3 linked regions of the Cricetulus griseus genome follow. Each later gene encodes a partner of the first gene's protein in a complex. Links are inferred from orthologs where the notes say so. Each region holds a gene or a part of one and is shown on either strand. Other genes may lie near its edges. The genes, in order: Gtf2e2, Ercc3 and Polr2k.

Region 1 (4,043 bases):
ATCTGCCTGTTTCTGCCTCCCAAGTGCTGAGACTAAAAGTATGCACCACCACCGGCAGGCTCATTCACACTCTTAATCCTACTGTCTTATCCTGATGAATGTGGTGGCTAATCTTAGAATCACAGTATCTTCTGAGAAGCCCGTTCAGGAGCCACATCCTCCCCGGGTCAGGTCATCTCACCTTTGGCATTCATGAATTTACAGTACCCTTCTGCTTACCTATGTCCTGCTCTTTAATAAGCTTAAGTGGGTTTTGTTTTTGTTTTTTTACATCAAACCCCAGAATAGACAAGTTTTCAGGTATCAGCCTGTCTCTGATTAGCTTTGGTGATTTCATTGTGTTCACCTGATCTTTTGGTCAGTGGAGGACTCTGGAGGCAATCTTTTTTGAAGCATGACCATGTATTTGTATGACTGTGGTTCAGCAGTGAAAGGGCCACATAGAGAACTTCCTTGCTGTGTGTAGCTTGTATTGTGCTGCAGTTTAATTAGTCCTTATTGGTGGTCAGGCCTTAGAATGTATTTTGTCTTTCTTAAGGGTTTGCAGCACCCTATATTCTGGCAATAAGAAGGCCTGTTTTCTTGTATCTTAGCTAATAGATGCATCAGACATTTTTACACTCTCCTGATCTGATAGGGGAGGAACATCGTGGTAGAAGTTGAGTGTCTTTTCCTGTTTAAGGGCACTTGAATTTTCTTTTTCTTCTGTTAATCTGTGTTTCCCTACAAGTTTTGTTTTTTTCTTTTTAATTGACTCTTGCAACGACTAGAAAAATTTGTTGTTGCTGTTGTCCTCATCAATCTCAACACATCTTCATCTTGTTATGTAGCCTTTATTAGTTTTGAACTCATCATGTAGCTGGTCTTCAACCTGTGATTCTCCTGCCTCTCAGCCTCCCACATGCTGTGTATCCCCACTCCTGGTTTAAGGTTAGTTTGTGATTTTTTTTTTCTTTCTCAGTTTATCATTTGATTTTTATCAGTCTGATTTTGTATGATTTCATGTTCAAGATTCATTTATTATGAATACAGTGTTCTGCCTGCATGTATCCCTGCAGGCCAGAAGAGGGCACCAAATCTCATTACAGATGGTTGTGAGCCACCATGTAGTTGCTGGGAACTGAACTCAGGACCTCTGGAAGAGCAGCCAGTGCTCTTAACCACTGAGCCATCTCTCCAGCCCTGATTTCATATTCTTGATCCTGGTATTCATGCTTACTACTTCAGATAATACATGGTGTACATTCCTGAAAAGATTAGTTTATGTCTGACTTTGACTTAATGCACTTAACATTTGAAATCTTCCCTCAACAGACACGGCATCAACGAGGAGATACACATCCTTTAACTTTGGAGGAGATTTTGGATGAGACACAGCACTTAGATATTGGACTCAAGCAGAAACAATGGCTAATGACTGAGGTGAGAATAGTTTTTTTAAAACTGTTGTAAAAAAAAAAAAAGCTAATTACAAAAAAGGGGTGTTTGCTACAGCTATCTAGAGTTGGTTCTTTTTTTCAGGGGCAGGGGAACGGTGGCTGGAGATGAAACCCAGGGCCCAGCATGTGCTAGGACAGCCCACTACTGATAGAACACTCCAGCTTGTAGACATGTTTTATCAAATTTTTAAGTCATCTCCAGCTTGTAGACATGTTTTATCGAATTTTTTTTGGGGGGGGAGGTGGAGCTGGGGGATGTGTGTGCCTGTGTGTGTGTGTGTGTGTGTGTGTGTGTGTGTGTGTGTGTGTGTGTGTGTGTGTAGGGGATGGGAGGGAGGAGGGAGGCAGGGAGAAAGGGGCAGGAGATAGGGTCTCATTTTGTAATCCAAACTGACTTCAGACTCAGGGCAGCCTTCCTGCTTTACCTGCTTTAACTTCATGAAACATGCCTGGCTCAGAGTGTTTTTTTTTTTTAATAAATACTATAATCTGATAATGTTTTTTACTTTTTCTTAAAAGACTTGATGTGTAGAGCCTTTGTTTAATTTAAACATACACATCCCTGTAATTTTTTAGCTGTTTTCATATAAATTTGTTTTAAAAATTTTAAGGCTACTTTAAAATGTGAAGCCAGTGTACCAATTTTGTTTTTATAAATAGTAGTTTGAATTATTAAACTCCTAACTTTATATGCCTATAAATTGTATATTGTATATATGCTTTATTTATTTTGCTTTGTTTTTCAAGACAGGGTTTTTCTGTGTAGCTTTGGAACCTGTCCAGGCTGGCTTGGAGCTCACAGAGCCTGCCTCAGCCTCCTGAGTGCTGAGATTAAAGGGGTGCACCACCACTGCTTGGCTCTATATGTGGTTTAGAAAATTTAATTGTGATGTTAGGGACAATAAAACATTTTATTGTGTTATTACCACTGTATAGTCTGATAAGTGAATTGTCTTTAGTTTCTTAGGCAAATGATCACATATGCTATGTTTAAATATATGTACCATTTGAAGAAAGCCTGAAACAATTGCCGACCATGCCAGTTTGCCATCGAATGACATATCATCTGTTTGGGTGTTTGTTTCTTTAAATTGCCTACTTTTCAGGACCAGTCTGAGGATCAGATATTAGCTGGGATGTAGTGGTGCACGCCTGTAATCCCAGCTCTTGAAAGGGTAAGGCAGGAGGATGGAAAGTTCAAGGACATCATTAGTTCCAGAGTGAGTTCAAAGCTGCTCTGCGCTACAGTTAAAATTAAAAACAAACAAACAAACAAAAACCCAAACAAACAAACAGTACAGAATACCCACAAAATTACCAGATGTAATAATTTCATTGATTTATTTGAGGCAGGGTCTCACTCACTAGATCCTCCTGCCTTTGCCTCCCAAATGCTGGGATTAAAGACATGTGGCACCATGAGTGGCCTAATTCACTTAATTAATTTCACCAAGCAAGGTGTGATTCTCTGTTTTTGTAATATAAAATGATTTGAGCAAACCCAAATCATTGGAGGTCATAGTCTTCTATCAGTTATTTGGCCATTGCTCGAAGCAGAACCTGCCTGAGATCATTGGTTTTTATTCTTTAAGCTTTTTTTTTTTGAGACAGGGTATCACTGTGTAGCCCTGGCTGTCCTGGAACTCAACTGTGTAGATCAGGCTGGCCTCAAACTCACAGAGATCCACTTGTCTCTGTCTCCAGAGTGTTGGTGATAAAGATGTGTGTAACCACTCCTGGCTTAAATGTTACTCTGTTGTATAGGCTGACCTCACACTTGGCAGCAGTCTCTTGCCTCAGACTCCTAAATGCTGAGATTATAGTAGGTATGAGTCACCACAATCAGCTTATACCTATGATTTTTTAACTTAAAAATGTTTAGACACTGCTGTGATGTTCTCCCATTATAATGCCAATATATGATAGAGGAGGCATGGGCATACCATGTTCACTGTGTCATTAATAGGTTATTTTTTGATTCCTACTCAGTTTGTCTTCTAAAAGAATAAGGGTTCTTCAAAGAAATTGTAATACAATGAGTTTTCTCTCTAAAGAATGTATGCAAATAGTGTACAGTGTAGTTGGAGTTTTCTTTGGACTGCCAGCTTATGAAAGCACATGAAAGCTTGGCCTTAGTTTAGGCTTGTCCCACTAGCTCTTATAACTTAAATTGACCTGCTTCTGTTAATCTTTGGTTTACCATGTGGCTTTTACCTTTGTTTAATTCTGTATATCCATTCCCTCTGCGTCCCTCATTGACATAATTTGCACATCTAGATTCCCCCTCCTCTTCCTCTCTCTCCCTGGAAATCCCACCTATCTTCCCTGCCTAGCTGTTGGCTGTCCAGCTTTTAATTTACACCAATCACAGCATTACATCTTTTCACAGTGTTCACATATCCCACAAACATACATTTTTTTCTTTTCATCTTAAATAAGAAGCAAGCACTATGCTGATCACCTGTTCTGGGATCCTGGATGTCTAATAGTCTAATATTTTAGCTCTGCAAGTTTATAGTCCATAAATACTTCAATTTGCCCCTGTGTTGGGTAATATTAGAATTTAAGAACATACACATGAGGTTTCCTTTACTAAGTAAAACG
Region 2 (4,043 bases), on another chromosome or scaffold:
AACTTGCAGGCCGCCTTGTGTTTCTCTGTATGTTCCCTCAGAAGTCAACAAAGCGTGGAAACCCGACAGGACAATTGGTCTTAGACATTAATCTTATGTACCATGTAGAGCTTACAAACATCATTGTATCCTGGCAACTACAACTTTATTGATCTTGACAATTGACAATTATATTCTGTTTCTGGTAAACGTATAAAGTCTAATTGCCCTTCTTTTGAAGAAATGTCACAGCCTTACAGGTGCTGTGGCCCCTCTAACCTGCCCTGATTTCCTTCCTCAGGTCCTATCAGGTGACCCTGGTATGGTAAGTAAATGCAGGCACTTTCAAAGGTGGAAGGGAAAGCTTTCACACAGAAATGCTACAATATACGGTGATAGAATATGAGGCCTTAAAGGGAAGAAGTGGCTTCCCTTAAAGCCTGGAGAAAAACTTCAGTGAGAGTGGGAATCAGAGAGCCATCTCTCAAGGAGAAGAACAGCAGTGTGGAGGCTAGAGGAGCCTTTTCAGACAGTAGTGTTCATCTGCACATTTTCTTTCTTTCTTTTTTTGGTTTTTTGAAACAGAGTTTCTCTGTGTAGCCCTGGCTGTCCTGGAATTAGCTCTGTAGACCAGGCTGGCCTCAACCTCAGAGATCTGCCTCCCAAGTGCTGGGATTAAAAGCGTGTACCACCACCGAATGGCCCAGATTTTATTTCCGATTTGATGTGTATGTTTGTGGGTATGTGTGAGTATATGCCATGTGTGTGCACTTAAAGAGACCAGAAGAAGGTGTTAAGATCTAGTGGAGCTGAAGTTACTGCAAGGCATGGTGGTGCATGCCTTTAATCCCAGCACTCGGGAGACAGAGGGGGATCTCTGTGAGTTCAAGGCCAGCTGGTCTAAAGAGTGAGTTCCAGGACAGCAAGGGCTACATGGAGAAACCCTGTCTTGATAAGCCACCAAAATAATAAAATAATAATATTACTACTAATAATAATAACAACAACAACAAAACCCAAAAATAAAATACCAACCAAAAAAAAAAAAAAAAAAAGGGAGCCATTTAAAGATTCTGTGGAGAGCATGGATCCCTTGTGCCATGAGAAATAATGAAGACTTTGACTTTGGGCTCTGAGCTCTGCTTGGGGACCTTCCCATCAAGGTCTCACCAGCAGGTCACCTCCACTCTTCCTAACCTGTGTGGTGAGAGGCCATCCACCAGCCTGTGGCAGCAGATGCAAGGCAGCCTTACCTTTTTTGGCTCGGAGTACCCGCCCCAGTCTCTGGGCTTCCTGCCGTCTGGAACCACCATGGGAGGAGATCTGAATGAGGACATTTGCTTCTGGCAGATCAAAGGATGTGTCACCGACCTACAGAAATAAAGGAGCTATGGTCTGGGAGTTTTTATATAGGGAATAGTAAGAACAAAAAGAATATCAACTAGTCCAGAATTTCAATCTTAAATTCCTGCAGTTCTAGGAATGGAGTTAGGGCTTCAGGCATGCTAAGCATGTGCTCTCCCACCAAGCTAACTCCCCATACATCTCTGGTTAAGACTAAGTCAGAGTTGGAGATAATTTATAGAAACATCCTCTCTTCCTCTTGTCAAGGACACAATGAACTTCAGAATGACCTCCCCAGAACCTGGCCACTACTTTTATCTTTGTGCTACAGAAATGGGTCTGTACAAAAACCTGTCTTACTTGATGAACACTGACAACTGCAGCAGCCCAAGTAGAACAATGCACTTTTACTACTCACACAGACCCTCACTGAGAGCTGGCTCCTTCACTGGGGTCTCAGCTCACACCACAGAGGTACCCAGCCATGGCCACCAGACTGGAAACACTCCTGTCTTCTAGACTTTAGTTCTATCTTCACCTGACTAAATGCTATCCAGCTCCTTACACTATGGGTTATCGTGTCCAAGGTGACTCAGCAGGTGTAGTAGAAGGACAAGCTGTCCTCTGACCTCCACACATACAACACAGCACCCTCTCCCAACCTACCAACCAAACAAATAAATGTAATTAAACTATTTTAAAGGTTTCTGCATGTTTAGTTAAATGCATAATCTCGCTATAGCCTTGGTTCCAAACACACAACACATACACCTCACACTGTGCTTGCCATCATCTTTGCAACACAAATAAATGCTGCTTAAAATACCTCAATTGCACAAACTTTTCTGCGTTTACATAATGGTTTATTTATGGAAAACAAATTAATATTTTCTTACAATCATTCCTAAGCATGTGAGTAATAAATTTGTATATCTTTGTATTATACTGTGATAGAATGTTTAATTTTAATAACCCTATTTTAATGGATAACTTTTGAAATTCATTTTTAAAAAAAAATCATTCAACAAATTTGGGCTTGGGATTAGGACAGAATTTCTAACAATTTCTGGAGTGGCCCCAAGCATACTTCTGTTGTTCTGAAGTATGTATTTATGTGAAACTGCATTCTCAGCATTGGCAATTACAAAAAATATCCACCAACTCTGGAAAGCACTGACAGTGTTCTACATCCTACAACAGGATCCTGTACATCCTGTGGTATCAGCTGAGATGTTAATTCTTTAGTAAAAGCAGCAAGCAAGTCCATCACATCAATGGGAGAATTCACTTTCATCTTTAACAAATGTCTCCACCCTCGTAGTTCACTCTTGCACCCTTGCTGCACCAGAGACAGATCCCTGTGTGGCTATGAGTTTGTCAACAGACTCACCAGGTGAGTGATTCCAGGAGAGTGACAGGTGCCATTCTCACTTCCCAAAAAAGTTCACAGGTTGTCAGACTCTAAAAACATGAGCCAGCTAACTGGTATAATGGATACACCTCAACAACACACCCCTAGAGCTACACCTCCCTGGGATCAGGGACAGCCTGGCTGTAGGCTTGTGCTGTGAAACCTTCTTCCAGACTCCCACTCTGCCTTTCGGGCCTGAACTATTCTCAGAGCTCCTGCTGTGCTGCTGCCATCTATCTGTGTGGCCATGATGTAGGGAACTCTCCTAACAAACATCTAACCCAAAAGAGCATCCACTTCAGTGCCCTGCTGAACCCCAAGCCCAGACAGTTCACATATATCAAAAGTTTTTAGGTGAAAAGAGATCATTAGTGAAAAAAAATAAAAAGACCTCATTTAAACCACGGGTCAGGCAGTGGTGGCACACTCCTTTAGTCTTATCACTCCAGAGCAGGTAGATCCTTGTGAGTTCAAGGCCAGCCTGGTATACAGAGTAAGTTCCAAGACAGCCAGGGATACACACAGAAAAATTCTGTCATGGGGAATGGGGTGGGGGGCAAACCAGAATAGAATAAAATAAACAAAAAACAAAGGGTCATATGGTAACAGTGATGCCATGATGAAGCTCAGCCTACCAAGTCCATTGTGGCACTGGCCACCCACCATCAAGGCACATCAGACACCAGGACAGAAGCTTCCCAAACACACAGCATCTCCAGTTCCAAAAAGGAAGCTTCATTCTAATACCTGCTTTTGCCAGAGCCAGAAAGACAAAGGAAATAAAATTTAAATCTCTACTTCCCAGGGAGAGGTACAACACACCTGAGAAGTGAAAAGCCCTTACAGATAACCTCAAGACATAAGAACCCTAAGTTACTTTTCACACTAGCCAGAGCTGCCCCTCCCTAACCCCATCGCTGGGCCAGGAAAGTAAGCACACACAGGAGGCCTTCAGCATGTATGAACCATGTCCAGAAGAGTGAGGCACTGCCCCGCCAGCCTGCACCACACACCTTGGAGATGAAGATGGTGTTGATTTTGGGGTTGTGCTTGAAGTTCTGGAGAATCTGCATCCTCTCTCCCTGGGATGTGGGCCCGTAGATATAAGGTCTAGGAGCAAGGAGTTTTAGAAACATCACAGAATCACACTCTTGCCTTGACTCCACCAGGCATTCGGTCAGTGAAGAGAAAATCAAGTACACCTGAGATACTAGCCACTCCAGCTTGCCCGACTAGCCCTGGGACCATACAATCTAGCCTTAACTCCAACCCCAGTTCTCACTTAGCCTGAAATGTTGACTCATTAGCC
Region 3 (4,566 bases), on another chromosome or scaffold:
AAAAAGATATTTTAAAACACTGAAACACTGATGATTTTGAGAGTCTGTGTCAGTTACACTGAAACAATTTCAGTATTTGGACTAATTTGTAGGCCTATTTTCCACTAGGTTATTAATTTCTCCTCCCATACTTTAGATTACCCATAAGCTAACAATCAAGAGTGACTACTTCTAACAAAGAATTCCTGAAAAAACTAAAAACATTTACATAAACCCAAATTGATTAATTTTTTAATTACTTAGAGCCCATAATGAATGGCACGAAAACACTAATCATGTTTACTTAAAAAAAAAAGAGCTGGTGTACAAAAGGACTTTGGGAGCCCATCCCACGTGGAGGGATGCTCTCTCAGCCTGGACACATGGGGGAGGGTCTAGGCCCTATCCCAAACGATATGACAGACTTTGGGGATACCTCATGGAGGGCCTTACCCTCCCTGGGGAGCAGAGGGGGGGATGATGTGGTGAGTTGGTGAAGGGCTAGAGAGAGGAGGGAGCAGGGATTGACAATCGAAGTAGGCTTGTTTCTAATTTGAACTAAAAAAAAAAAAGTAAAATAAAAGCTAAAATCACTTACAGGGTTTTTTAAACACACACACACACACACACACACACTTGGGTCCTTTGTACAGGTGGAGGTCGGAAAAAGGGATCAGACCCCCGAAACTGGAGTTACAGAGGATCATGAGTAATTATGTTGGTGCTAGAAACAGAACACAGGTCCTCTGGAAGAACAGCCGATGCCCTTACCTGCCTGCTGACGAGTCTCTCTAGCCCCTATTTGTTTTTTTTGACACTGAGTCTCACTTAGTAGTTCTAGCTGGCCTTGAACTCACAAAGCTCTGCCTGCCTCTTTTCTCCAAGTTTGGTGAAAAATAATTCATATTAAAATAATATACATTTACGTCCTTCAGAGCCCCCCACATTCTCAGTTAATAAACTCTTCATTAATAAAGTCACATTCAATCTGCTTAGAAAAATAAACAACCCAAAAGTTGCTACTTTTGTCAGAACTTGGTCTTTATCAACCGAGTATTAGTTATTCCTCTTTACGTTTAGAAAGCCCAGTCAGAAGGATACATCTTTTTGTCCTTTTCTTGTACATTATTCTGTATCCACATTCTCTGCATCTGATTGGATCCCTGGACTTTATTTCATTTTCCGTGTGACACTCTAGGGAATAAAACACGTTCAGTCAATGCCTGAAAGAGAAACACTACAGGGAACCAAATATAACCACAGACTTCGCCAGAGCAAGTCAAAGCCCCGAAACTAAATACACCAAGGAGGAAAGAAAAGAGCTGTCGGCAGCGTACCTTTTCCTGATGAAAAGACAAATCTTAACGAGGGACTTTTACATTAATGATGCTAAAGTGTTTCACTTGAACTCGCAGAGATCCCCCTGCCTCTGCCTCCTGAGTGCTCCGCTTTATAACTTTGAAGATCAGTACTCATATATGGAAAGTTGAGGTAAAATGTTCCTACTTAAGCAGGGCATTGGTGGCACATACCTTTAATCCCAGCACTAGGGAGGCAGAGGCAGGGGGATCTCTGTGAGTTGGAGACCAGCCTGGTGTACAGAGTGAGTTCCAGGATAGGCTCCAAAGCCACAGAAAAACCCTGTTTCAAAAAAACAAAACAAAAGCAAAAAAAAAAAAAAGCCAAACAAACCAAAAAACCAAAACAACAACAAAAAACGTTCCTACTTAAATGTTAATCTTACCTCCGCAAATATATATCATCGGCTGCTGCTTTGGGGGTTGGACGTCTTTCTGCGCGTCCATTGCTAGTGCCTGAAATCAGAGCCAAAGCTTGAATAACAAGATCATCACACAAAACCAACCAGGCTCCCTTTTCCCCAGCAGCTACGCAAGGTCCTGATTCCGGGGTGAAGAGAAAATCTCAGGTGTAGAATGTTTGCCCAGAACACAGCGGCTCGAGGATCAAACCCCAGTATTACAGAATGAGGGGGAAAAAAATCATAATTCCTTATTTGAAACCCCCCCTTCCCCACCAACTGTGGGCTGGGTCTGAAGGAGGAAACACATTCTCAACAACACAGAATCCATCTCGAAGGTCTACGACACTCTTGAAGGTGCCAGAGGGCATCACTCTTTACACTCGGGGAAACCGAGGCTAAGCACAGCTCTCTGTGTGCCCAGCGTCTCCCGACACTAAGAAGCAAAGGGGGGGGGGGCTGGAGAGATGGCTCAGAGGTTAAGAGCACCGGTTGCTCCTCCTGAGTTCAATTCCCAGCACACACATAGCAGCTCACAACTGTGTGCAACCCCAGTTCCAGGGCACCCAGCTGACATCCATGCAAAATACCCAATGCACAAAAAATAAAAATAAACTTAGAAACCCTGTCTCGAAAAACCAAACAACAAATAAACTAAAAAAAAAAAAAACCCACAAAAATCCGCTAACTCCGCCGGGGATCTTGTCATAAATCATTTTTTAAATTTATTTTATTTTATGTGCGTTGGTGTGAGGGTGTCAGGTCCCCTGGAACTGGAGTTGCAGACAGCTGTGAGCTGCCATGTGGGTGCTGGGAATTGAACCCGGGACCTCTGGAGGAGCAATCGGCGCTCTTAACCTCTGAGCCGCCCCTCCAGCCCAGTCACCGACCATTTATTTACGTTTATTTGGCTCTTTGAGAGGCTCCCCACTTGGTAGCCCAGGCTGGCCCGGAACTCACTTCATCGCCCAAGCCAACCCCAAAGCCCGGGCGTCCGTCTGCTGAAGGCGGCAGTCCCCTGCCTCCGTTTCCCGAGCGCCCAGGCGGCGTGGAGCCAGCTCTCCCGGGCACCCGGGAACTTTCTAAAACCTTCTAAAGCCAGTTTTTTTGCCCTCAGACCGATCTCTCACCTCCGCGGCTCCAAGCAGAGTCTCGGTACGCACACAAACGTTCCCCCGCGTCCTCAGTGACGGACTCACTACCGGCGCGGACCGCGCGCTTCCGGCGCTGCCTAATGACGCGCAGGAGCCCCGCCCCCGCCCCGTCCCCTCCGCCGCCGAGAGCCCGGGCTGGGCACAGGCGACGGCGGAAGCCGAAAGCAGCTCTCGCTCCGGCGGCGGTCGCGGGTTCGAGACTCGGGCTCGTCGCCATTTGCTCGTCGCCATTTGCTCGTCGCCGTTTGCACAGGGTTCTCTTTTGTTTGGCTGCCCTTCAGCGCGCGGCTCTCCCCCAGGCCCCGGAGATGTCAATTAAAAATACTTTTTTTCAGGACCGTTGGCTTAGCTCGGTGGCTCGCAGGGGTGAATCTTCAGGAAAACGGTCGCTTGAGCTGCTTCCTCCGCACACAGCCCAGCAGCCTGTTAAACGCTCGCCCTCAGCCACGCTACAAAGTCTCCCCAATCCTAGGGCGGTCAGGTGTGTCTGCCGGGCTAAGCCCCGGCTGTAGAGAAAGGGTGGTGTGGCTTCTCACTTGCTAGTGAAAGACTTAAAAATTAGCAAAGAAATATAGCCCAGATAAGGAAACTCTCCAAACTGAATGTAGGGCGGCCTAACTCGGAAACTAAGGCCACTATTAGGACTTAGGGCCTGGAATTTACCAGCCGCAAGCAATTACTCCCTTACAAGGCCATAATATAACTGGGTACCAAGAATTCCCAGATGGCCACCCTCCCCGAGGGGCTCATGAAAAAAACAGATTGCCCCACCGGCCAATGTGTCAATCATTAACAATTAAGTGTCCCTGTGAAACAAAGAGATAGGTACCATTTGCTCAAGCAAGCTAAGCATATCCTGAGGTCTGCAGGTTTTACAGCTGGTGGGTCAGGAGGCCATCTGATTCCCAGCCCTCTCCTCAAGACAAAGGGTCTCTTAGGCACCTGTGACTCTGGTCACACCCCTCCCTAAGCTTGTGGTTTTTGCCTTTAAAAAGGCCTGTGCCTGGGGGACGGGGCTGCTCTCTAGCCTGCATGCTGAGAGAGCCCCTTCGTACAAACGTCTACCTTTCATTAAAGCCTCTTGCTGTTTGCATCAAGTTTCCGACTCCTCATGATGATTGGGATGGCCGCAGTCCTGGGAAAGGATTCTGGAGGCCTGAGCTTCCAGGGGGCTTACATTAGACGTCTGAGATTTTAAGATTTCGTTGTTTCTTTGTTTTGTGTTTTTGGTTTTTTCGAGACAGGATTTCTCTGTAGCTTTGGAGTCTGTCCTGGCACTCACTCTGGAGACCAGGCTGGCCTCGAACTCACAGAGATCCGCCTGCCTCTGCCTCCTGAGTGCTGGGATTAAAGGTGTGCGCCACCACCACCCGGCTAAGATTTCGTTGTTACTTTGAGTTGTCTGTGTTAGTGCCAGCAGAGACCTGAAAAGGTCCTCGGAGCCCCTGGACTGGAGCTACAGACTATTAGAAGCCGCCCTACGTGGGTGCTGGGAACTGAACTTGGTCCTTTGCAAAAACAGCAAGTGGTCTTACATGCTGAGCTACCTCTCTAGCTCTTGTATTTCCTCCCTCCTCCCTCCCCCTCCCTCCCTCCCTCCCTCCCTCCCTGCCTCCATCCCTTCCTTCCTTCCCTGTGTTTTGTTGTTGTTGTTTTTTGTTTGTTTGCTTGTTT

The links.
Region 2: Gtf2e2 (region 1) and Ercc3 share a complex: the UniProt entries of both Homo sapiens proteins name them as parts of the TBP-based Pol II pre-initiation complex. The link is inferred for Cricetulus griseus from reciprocal best matches to the Homo sapiens genes GTF2E2 and ERCC3.
Region 3: Gtf2e2 (region 1) and Polr2k share a complex: the UniProt entries of both Homo sapiens proteins name them as parts of the TBP-based Pol II pre-initiation complex. The link is inferred for Cricetulus griseus from reciprocal best matches to the Homo sapiens genes GTF2E2 and POLR2K.

Annotation. Positions count from the first base shown.
Region 1 is NW_023276807.1:51,052,989-51,057,031, reverse strand, and holds part of Gtf2e2 (transcription initiation factor IIE subunit beta), read left to right. Parts: intron 1-1,314; coding exon 1,315-1,422; intron 1,423-4,043. UniProt on the Homo sapiens protein: Recruits TFIIH to the initiation complex and stimulates the RNA polymerase II C-terminal domain kinase and DNA-dependent ATPase activities of TFIIH. Both TFIIH and TFIIE are required for promoter clearance by RNA polymerase.
Region 2 is NC_048595.1:205,088,415-205,092,457, forward strand, and holds part of Ercc3 (general transcription and DNA repair factor IIH helicase subunit XPB), read right to left. Parts: intron 3,845-4,043; coding exon 3,748-3,844; intron 1,351-3,747; coding exon 1,233-1,350; intron 1-1,232. UniProt on the Homo sapiens protein: ATP-dependent 3'-5' DNA helicase/translocase. Binds dsDNA rather than ssDNA, unzipping it in a translocase rather than classical helicase activity. Component of the general transcription and DNA repair factor IIH (TFIIH) core complex.
Region 3 is NC_048603.1:15,288,191-15,292,756, forward strand, and holds the start of Polr2k (DNA-directed RNA polymerases I, II, and III subunit RPABC4), read right to left. Parts: upstream 2,966-4,566; 5' UTR 2,869-2,965; intron 1,794-2,868; 5' UTR 1,785-1,793; coding exon 1,724-1,784; intron 1,174-1,723; coding exon 1,081-1,173; intron 1-1,080. UniProt on the Homo sapiens protein: DNA-dependent RNA polymerase catalyzes the transcription of DNA into RNA using the four ribonucleoside triphosphates as substrates.